Caenorhabditis elegans: one gene and its partner. The protein of the gene in region 1 interacts with the protein of each later gene in a pairwise test. Each region holds a gene or a part of one and is shown on either strand. Other genes may lie near its edges. The genes, in order: C35B1.2 and F55F8.8.

Region 1 (4,958 bases):
TTTTCCGGCAAATCGGCAAATCGGCAAAGTTCCGGAATTGAAATTTCCGGCAAAGCGGCAAACCGGCGGAATTAAAAATATTCGCCAAATAGGAAAATCGCCGGAATTGAAAATTTCCGGCAAATCGGCGAATTGCCGGAATTGAAATTTTCGGCAAATTGGCGAATGACCAGAATTGTTATTTTCCACAAATCGGCGAACTGCCGAAATTGAAATTTTCGGCAAAATGCCGGATTGAAATCTCCGACAAATCGGCAAATTGCCGGAATTAAAAATTTCTGGCAAATTGGTAAATCGGCGGAATTGTAATTTCCGGGAAATAGGCAAGTTGTCGGAATTGAAAATTTCCGGCAAAACGGCGAATTTCCGGCAAATTGGCAAGTTGCCGAAATGGAAACTTCCGGCAAATTAAAAAATTGCCGGAACTGAAAATTTCCGGCAAACCGGCAAATTGTCTGAATTTAAATTTCCGGCAAATCGGCGAATTGCCGGAATTGAAATTTCCAACAAATCGACAAACTGAACAAATAGTGGAATTGTGGCCGAAAATCAATATAAAATGCGGTCAAATCAAAGAAAGGAGGCAGAGAATCAGCAAAAAGTGTGTGTGTGCGCGTTCTGTGGCCGAATCGGAACAAATAATAGAACAGGACATTGGGGAATGGAAATTTGAGAAAAACCGGTTTTTTTAATATTAAATTTTACTTTTTTATTGTATAGAATTAGTTTTACAAAATATTAATAAATGTTAGAATAATTTTATTATTTCCAGCATACTTCAAAATGAAACTCTGGAATTTCTGCTAAAACTGTACGATTTTCAACTTTAAAAAAAGTCGGTCAAAAGGCATTTTTGATGATAAAAACTGTTGGTTTTATAGAATTTTTCAGGAGAATTAGAGAAAACACAGAAAAATGATGACGTTTTGTATATTTTGAGAGGGGTGATGACAATTCGCTGATGCAATAGAGAAAGTGGTTGTTTTTTGAAGGTTATGGTACTTTGGTCTTTGAAAATATAGATTTTTTGAATTAAAATCGTATTTTTAGGGGAAAAATGACCCAGAAAATCGGAATTTTAAGTCAAAACTTTGGTAAATCGGAGAAAAAATCATTTTTTGTTCGAAAAATTAAGTTAAAATCGACAAAAAACCTATTTTTTCCAAAAATACAAACATGTTTACGAAAATTTGGTCTAAGACATCAAAAATCAATATTTGTAATTTAGTGTTTTACGTTATTTACTCGAAAACCTCAAAATTCTGCTTTTCAGCTGAAATTTCCACTGAAAATGTATTTTTTTGAAGCAAAAACAAAGAAAATGCAATTTTTGACTGGATAAATAGAACAATCTCACAAAAACGCAATAACACCTTATAAATAATTCTAGGAACCAAAGTGTAGAAATCCAATTACTCTTTGGTGTCTTATGCTTTCCTGTTTTTGTGTCCTTTAAAGGCCCAAGGGCCCGTTTTTTCGGAAAGGCTTATTTTTTTGCATTTTTCACGATATTTGAGGTAATTGTTAGTTTTCATGCCTTTTTTGTGGAAAATTTATATTTTTTTAGTATTATTTACAGTTTCTGGATTTTTTCCGCACGTTTTAAGTGGAAAACTTGCAGAAATCGAGAAAACAATAAAAACATAAAAACAAGTGTCGTGAAATTAAATGTCGGGTACGCAAACACCGCCACGTCACAATGCACAGAATTCGGATTTTTATTTTTATTTTTCTTCGTTTTCAGACAATTTCCAGGCGTTTTTGCGGATTTCATAGCAAATTTTATTGAAAAAACCGAATTTTCGATTAAAAATGCATTATAAACTCATATTTCCGTTAGGTTAACGTAAAATTTCGCCTATAAATCGACAAAATTCGAAAAAATGTGAAAATAATTAATTTTCAGCTCGAAAAAGAAAATGTCAGAACGTCTGGAGGTTTCTATAGAAGGAGAGGATGATTTCCCGTTTGATGAGGATAATATTCGTGAGTTTTAGCCAAAAAATTTAGGGGAATTTTGATTTTTTTTTTCCGAAGATATGTTAAAAATCGCTGAAATTTCGAATTTTTCCAGAAGAACTCGACCATTTCGACATTGGAGAGGACGAGGATCCGGAGGAAGTTGCTCAGGAAGATGTAATATTAATTTATTATCGGTTTCTTCAGTTTTCCAACAAAAAGTCTATTTTTAGGCCGGCGTCTGGCAGGAAAGGGTCCCATTAACCCGTCAAAAGCGGAAACAAGTCCTCAGAAAGCCTGGAAGGAAGCGGACAGGAGAGTGAGTGGATTCTAAGCCTAAAAACTGCCTAAAAATCAATAAAATTCCAGAATAATCCATATTCCGAAGCGTCAGCCTCCACGGGCGGTCCGAGTGAAGTCATATCAACAATATGACGCGTTTGACGAGCTCGTGGAGCAAGATTTGGATGATTCTGATCCAGAAGTTATGGATGACGATGGAGGTAGATTTTCAAAGGGAAAAATGCTGAAATTCTGGAATTTTTCGCTAAAAACTGTAATTTTTCAATTTTTCAGAGCCTTCAACCTCGAAAACCTGGAGAATATTCGTCAGAAAAGATGGTTCGGGAATGCATTTCGATTGGCCAATTTTCATGGATTCGGCTGTTTCTCTCAAAGGTTTTGGCTGAAAATTGGAGAAAATCACTGAAAATTCGCTGAAAAAATCGATAAAAGTACTGGAGAACGCCCGATTTTCAGTGGAAAACGCCGAAAATCCGAGAATTTAGGTGTAAATTCGCTAAAAATTGCTGAAAATCACTGAAAATTCGCTAAAAATCTGTGATTTTCGTGTAATTTTCAGATTTTCATCTCAAAATCGCTGCTGAATATTGGCAATTTTTGAGTTAATTCCTAGGATTTTAATCTGGAAATCTTTGAAAATCCGAGATTTTTGAGAAATTTATCTAGAAATCAAAAAAATAAGTGAATTTCCTTGAAAATTTGTAAATTTTACCTAAAAATCGTTGAAAATCGGTTAGAATTCTTGAGTTTCAATGAAAAATTGCTTATAATTCTGAAAAATCCAAAAATTTCAATGAAAATTCGCTGAAAATCCGAGAATTTTAGTTCAAATAGGCTTAAAAAAACAATAAAAATTCTGAAATAATAGTTGAAAATTGCTGAAAATGACATAAAATTCAAGATTTTCAGTGGAAATTCTCTTAAAATCAGTTAATTTTTCACAAAATTCCATTATTTTTTGCTTAAAAAACTTTAAAAGTACTCAAAATTCTCACTAAAATCCAATTTTTAATGAAAATTTTACAAAAAAAATCTTTAAAAATCCAGGAAAGCTGCAAAAATTGTAATTTTTTCGGGGTTTTCACCAAATTTTTAATCGATTTTCTACATATTTCACATATTTTCGACTGGAACAGTTTCTAAAAATCCTATAAATGACCGTTTTCCAAAACGATTTGTGAATTTTTCCCCAAAAAAAGGAATTTTGGACAGAATTTCACTTGAAATTAGCTTCGAAAATTCAAAAATCGTATTAGAAACGGTCATTTAAAGGATTTTTAGAAACATTTTCCTGTCGAAAATCTGTGAAATATTTAGAAAATCGAATAAAAAATTGGTGAAAACCCCGAAAAAATTACAATTTTTGCAGCTTTCCTGGATTTTTAAAGATTTTTTTTGTAAAATTTTCATTAAAAATTGGATTTTAGTGAGAATTTTGAGTACTTTTAAAGTTTTTTAAGCAAAAAATAATGGAATTTTGTGAAAAATTAACTGATTTTAAGAGAATTTCCACTGAAAATCTTGAATTTTATGTCATTTTCAGCAATTTTCAACTATTATTTCAGAATTTTTATTGTTTTTTTAAGCCTATTTGAACTAAAATTCTCGGATTTTCAGCGAATTTTCATTGAAATTTTTGGATTTTTCAGAATTATAAGCAATTTTTCATTGAAACTCAAGAATTCTAACCGATTTTCAACGATTTTTAGGTAAAATTTACAAATTTTCAAGGAAATTCACTTATTTTTTTGATTTCTAGATAAATTTCTCAAAAATCTCGGATTTTCAGAGATTTCCAGATTTAAATCCTAGGAATTAACTCAAAAATTGCCAATATTCAGCAGCGATTTTGAGATGAAAATCTGAAAATTACACGAAAATCACAGATTTTTAGCGAATTTTCAGTGATTTTCAGCAATTTTTAGCGAATTTACACCTAAATTCTGGGATTTTCGGCGTTTCAATAACAATTGGATTTTAGTGAGAATTTTGAATAATTTTGAAGGTTTTTTAAGCAACAAATAATGGAATTTCCCGATTTTCCCCCAATTTTTAACGCAATTTCTTTCCAGACGTGGTAAATTTTATTTCAACAGACGCCTCCGAGATCCCAAAATCATTAATTTGTACGTCAATTCCACAGGAATTCACAAATACTGGAACATTTATAATTCATCTGGAAGAAGGATTATTAAAAGAAGAAATATGTAATGATGGACTCGGAACATGGAATTCTGCACAAATGTTTGTTAGAAAATATGTACTTGGAGTTGGAAGAGCCCGCCCGTTGATGACACAGAAAAATGACCATAATTTGAAGGTAGAAATGCGGAAATTTGCAAAAAATTGAAAAAAAAATTATGAGAAAAAGCTTTAAAAATAACCTAAAATCGCAAAAAAAATCCGGAAAATTGACTTAAAAATCGCTAAAAATGATTAAAAAAATTGTTCAAATTTCACACTTTTTATGCAAAATGTGTGTGCAAAAATCGTTTTAAAATTTTAGAAATTGGCTTGAAAATTGCTTAAAATTTTGAACAATTTTACTAAAAGTCGCTGTAAAAATTGCCCGAGAATGCAGAAAATTCATTAAAAATCGTAGTTTAGTGCAGAAATTGACTGAAAATTGGGTAAAAACTGTAATTTTCCAGATAGTCTGCGAGCAATTCATCCATCCGGGAACCGATAGCCGTGGC
Region 2 (5,019 bases), on another chromosome or scaffold:
CTGTCAGTTCTATCGCAAATAAATCTCTTCCATACTCTTTGTTCGTAAACTCCCTTTCAAAAAAAACAGATTTCTAAAATAAAATTGCTCTCTTTCAGTACATTCGCCCCAGTTGCATTTGCCGAGCCAGAACGATGTGAAACAAATTGTGAAGCAATTGATGAGGATCCTCCAATTCTCATGAAATCTCGCCCACATGCTCATTCTCATGGAGTACGATCAATTACATTTGTATTGGCACTGGGAATTCATTCAATTATTGAAGGTCTCGCATTTGGAGTTCAATCAGGAAATGATACGATTATTGCTTTATTCCTATCATTAATGGTTCACAAATTGATTGTCGCATTTTCTGTTGGCCTTCAATTGTTCAGAACTCATGCACATCAGATTAAATGGGTAAGGAAAGATTTACTCTCTGAAAAACTATCAAATTAAAAAAAACAACTATTTTTCATTTCTCAGGTGATCATCTCAATCTTCACACTTGCTTCAATGACTCCACTTGGTGCACTGATTGGCCTTGCAGTCACATCAGCAGCTGATAATGCCCTCTGGAAAGATTTGACGATCACGATTCTGCAAGGTCTTGCAGTCGGAACATTCATCTATGTCACTTTCTTCGAGGTTTTATATTTTTCATTTGATGAGTTAAAATTCAAACACATTTTCAGGTTCTTCTTCACGAAAGAGACAACGAGCATCCAAATCTTTTAAAACTTTTAGTGATGTTTATTGGATTTGCATTGATTGGAGCATTACGTGGATTCGAATCGAGTCATGGTCATTCTCATAGTGGCTCGACAGAACCACATTTCCATGGAAATTCATCTTTTGATGACTATGGACATTAACTATTCCAAAATAATATTGTTTTTTGATAAGTTAATCTCATCTCATAATCAATTTTCATTTCATGCGTATCACAAAATTACTCTAACAAATCCGTAACTGTATGTATTAATTTTGTGAGACGCTCGATTTCTGTAGCATACTATCACTTTTCTTCATTTTCGACATATTCACCATTCGAATCCAGTTGTTGAAAATATTATTGAATAGTAGAAAATGTATTCGCATTTGCCGGTAATCAATAATGTATTTCAAATTTTGTTGTTTTAATCTTTGCCCATTTTCAGTTTTTTCAACCATTCATTTCATTTCCTATAGTTGCGGGTAGTGGCTTTCGATTGAATTGTTTTCCTCTTCCCAATTTTTCTTCAAAATGTTAAAATTATTCCTCTTCTCTATTCCTCATAATGTTGTGCTTTGTTTTTATTTTTATTCTCATATGCCCCCTCTGGTTTTTCCGCACAAAAAATGCTTTAATTTGTCTATAAAAAATAATGCTGAGAATCAGTGAATTCTTAACTTTTCGGAATAAAATCAATGCTTCTTGAAAATGTTCACATTGTTAGATGACTAACTCCATGTTCACTTTTTAATTCTATTGTCTTCTGAAATAGGAAATGACGTGGCGAAAAATGAAAGTATCGGAAGGCGGATTATGAGGAGAAGGAATACAGTAAAAAAAGAGAAAAGTGACTTTTTGTTACGTATTCATCCTCTCTCCTTTCTACTATAAACCCTTTTTGGCACTTCACATGGCTAACCAACTAGTTTTAAATCAAACTGACTGAATGGCTATGCTATGCCAAGTCGCACTGGCTATTTTATTTTTCATCTAAATTTTTGTTTTTTTTGTTCAAATAGATACCAAAACCACAGTAAAAGCTTTTAAACTTTTGATTATGGGAAATTTTGTCTTAAACTTATACATTTCCCGGTCTCGACACGACAAATTTTAATTAAATGCAAAAAAGTGTGCGCCTTTAAAAAGTGCTGTACACCTGTTATTAATAGTACTTAATTGTTTTCAAAAATTGACATTTATTCGAATGTTCATGAAACAGGAGAGGAGTTGGGCACTACAGTACTCTTTATAGACGCAGACAATTTTGCATTAAAAAAACAACATTTTGTCGTGTTGAGACCGGCTACCGTAATTTTTGAGGCAACATTTCTCATCTGCTACCTTTTGGAAAACCTACAATATATGCAATAAGATGTTCACAAAAACTACAGATCATGATTGGAATCAATTGATTTTTAAATACTTTCAAATTTATTAGCTCGTTGAACATTAATTTTAGAACACCTAAAAATAGGCTCCGCTCTTTTTTTAAATTTTGGATTTCTAATAAATTTTTTATACTTGCTCTATTTTTTGCAATTAGACTTCTGAATGTTAGAAAAGTTTTTCAAGGATTATTGGAATTTTGGTTAAAATTTGCTAAATTAGCATAACTTCCAATTTATAACTTTTTCGCTTCGCACTGAATGCATATAATTTTGGACGCTTTGCAACTTTTAAAGAATTTTTGTATTTTTTGAAGTCCTAAAAAGACAGTTTAAATAATTTTAAAAAATAAAACCGTGATTGGAACTGCTAGAACGTTTTTCTGGTCTATTGAAATAATTTAATTAATATCCGTCCGAAAAATATTTAGAATGAGAACTACAGTTGCCTGGTATCTACTTCTACATTTTTTGAAAGTTTACGGACAATGGACAGGTAAGTGAAATAATTGAAACGTCTATGAACGAAATATTAATTGTAGAAATGGAAGTACGAAGAATGTTGGAAGACACAAATCTACGGCATTTACAAATTGAAAAAATGACAAAAGAAGCAGCGATTCGACATAATCAGGTTTTCCATTTTTGAATTTTCTTATCGTAACATAAATATTACAGATGAATCCAGACGGTCAACCATTAACTGGACGACACAATTTGGAAACAAATACAATGACATCTGTATCTATTGAATCACCAATTCCTGCTCCAATACCTCCACCACCTCTTCCAGGTCAACAAGTCATCATTCGTCCAGCTCCACCTCCGACTATTGAAGATGATCGGACGTTTTTAGCAAGTAAGTTGGTAATATATGAAATATTTGCAAACATAATCTTTTATGAAAATAAAGTAAAATTATTCAGAGATGTCGGAACAAGAATCTCTTGTGAATCAGTTAAATTCAATTGCAACACGGGAAGCTGTATCGAGAAATGGATTATTGGTTATGGGTTGGTTGCCACTTTGTTTTATTTTTTGTTCTTCTTTATGTCAACTAGCTTTAATTAAAATAATAATATTAAACTTAATTCTGATAAGTTTTTTATTTATAGAGATTCATAATATTAAACTAATTCTGGTGAAGTTTGCATGGTTACATAAAACTTGAGCCCACAAATATTGAAGGATGCTGAATTCGTTCTTTCCACGAAATAATGATACTTATAATTATTCTAAACCTGATATATATTTAGACTTAATATAAAAATTGGGAAAGGTAGAACAATATTTTGTTGAGATATAGCCTAACTTTTCTCAAGCATGTCCGAGAAACAGATTTCTAAAAGTTAAAAAATTCAACAATTTAAAGAATATTCAATTTTGTTTCGTTATCATGCCATTTTTTGCCTTTTCAGAAGGAGCTTTGCTGAATGCACTTCGTCCATTAACAATGCCATTGTTAGGAGCAGGCCCACCGATTCCAGGACATTTTGTTCCATTCCAGAGAATGCAAAGTAATTTAAACATTCTGGGAAATATTATGTTTGAGCATTGAGATTATTCTGAATTAATTCCTATTAAAAACTGTTCGTTCGTAAAAATGCGGCAATGAGGTAGCCAGGCAAGATATAGGCATTATCTAATCATTTAGACATGCAGATAAGAAGTAGATTTGAAGTAGGCGAAGGGCAGGCACATTGCTAGGAACTTGAAAATATACGAGGCATGAATGTAGGCTTTTAATAGGTAGATACGTATTTAGAGAGGTTCGATATAGGCATAATGTAAGAACATACAAGTTAGAAACGAGGAATGGACATGGGTAGACAAGAGATAGGCATATAAGCAGCTTCTAACAAGGTAGGCATAGGATATTCACGTATGTAGAAATGAGGTATTAGAAATTAGAAAAACAGGATGGAATTTTTCCACAAACTAATTTGTTTCAGGACCAATTGAACAATCACCAATTGATAACCGTGTGGAAGTTCAGTCAAGACCGCCAGCCCCACAATTACCAATGCGATTGAACAACTTAGAGACTTTTCAGTTTCAGAAAGATGATGAAGTTGCTGAAATGATTATACGAAATGAGTCAACACCACTAAATTCAAGCTGACGATTTGACAGTTGAATTCCATTTCATTGAATATCTGTACATCGTGAAAAATAGGAAATAAAGTGTTGAAACATCTTAATATTCGTTCAAAGTTTATCAAAACTAGAAATATTTTACACACGGGTTCAATAGAAAAATGAGATCATTAATGTGGTGGGAAATGTGATATTTGAGAGAAATTCCATCAGTATCTTCCAACAAAACGAGGTTCTTTCACTGATTTAGTCTCGATTTTATTTGATGAACAGCAACCTAGATAAATACAATATTTAATTGATATATTTGAAATGTGAATGTCAAAAATCTTACCAACAAAAACGGAAAGCATCAACGGAAGAAATACTAATCCATGAAGGAATCCAATTGAAATTGCGAGAAAAACTGTCTTGAAAAATGTAACAATCATATAAGCAGGCACATCAGACAATACAGAAACTGCCAAAATTGTTGACATTGCACCTGTAAATGTGGTTGTAAGACAACGACTGTCTGTAAGGATTGTGTTACAGGATAACAGGACTCTGGGGGTACTGTAAGAGAGATAAGTTTGAGTTTTTTAAAGGATGACTTAAAGATTGTTGAATGATGGAATATTCTGGGGTACGGTTGGAGTACTGTAGGTTTAATGTAGTTTTGAAAATATGAATTTTGAGTTTTGAAGTAAAAGTGGGTTGGGCTAATGTAGGAGTACTGTAGTCTTGAGAAATTTTGGAAACCCTTTTAAACTTCACGCATGTAAATTTGTTTTAAAAAAACCTTGCGCAACAGGCCATCCGAGATCTCCAAGAGCATCACAAACTCTTGCTGAAGTTGTCGAT

The links.
Region 2: the proteins of C35B1.2 (region 1) and F55F8.8 interact in a two-hybrid assay, tested with the Caenorhabditis elegans proteins (one large-scale study listed by BioGRID).

What each region holds. Positions count from the first base shown.
Region 1 is NC_003282.8:4,084,306-4,089,263, forward strand, and holds the start of C35B1.2 (SWIM-type domain-containing protein), read left to right. Parts: upstream 1-1,906; 5' UTR 1,907-1,919; coding exon 1,920-1,986; intron 1,987-2,074; coding exon 2,075-2,136; intron 2,137-2,192; coding exon 2,193-2,278; intron 2,279-2,328; coding exon 2,329-2,462; intron 2,463-2,535; coding exon 2,536-2,637; intron 2,638-4,334; coding exon 4,335-4,582; intron 4,583-4,913; coding exon 4,914-4,958.
Region 2 is NC_003279.8:5,666,330-5,671,348, reverse strand, and holds F55F8.8 (uncharacterized protein), read left to right. Parts: upstream 1-1,611; 5' UTR 1,612-2,511; coding exon 2,512-2,575; intron 2,576-2,621; coding exon 2,622-2,713; intron 2,714-2,757; coding exon 2,758-2,938; intron 2,939-3,005; coding exon 3,006-3,092; intron 3,093-3,497; coding exon 3,498-3,596; intron 3,597-4,031; coding exon 4,032-4,201; 3' UTR 4,202-4,280; downstream 4,281-5,019. Other genes in the region: zipt-2.4 (Zinc transporter ZIP3), read left to right, coding at 99-399, 466-627, 675-854; ptr-10 (SSD domain-containing protein), read right to left, coding at 4,386-4,453, 4,511-4,660, 4,958-5,019.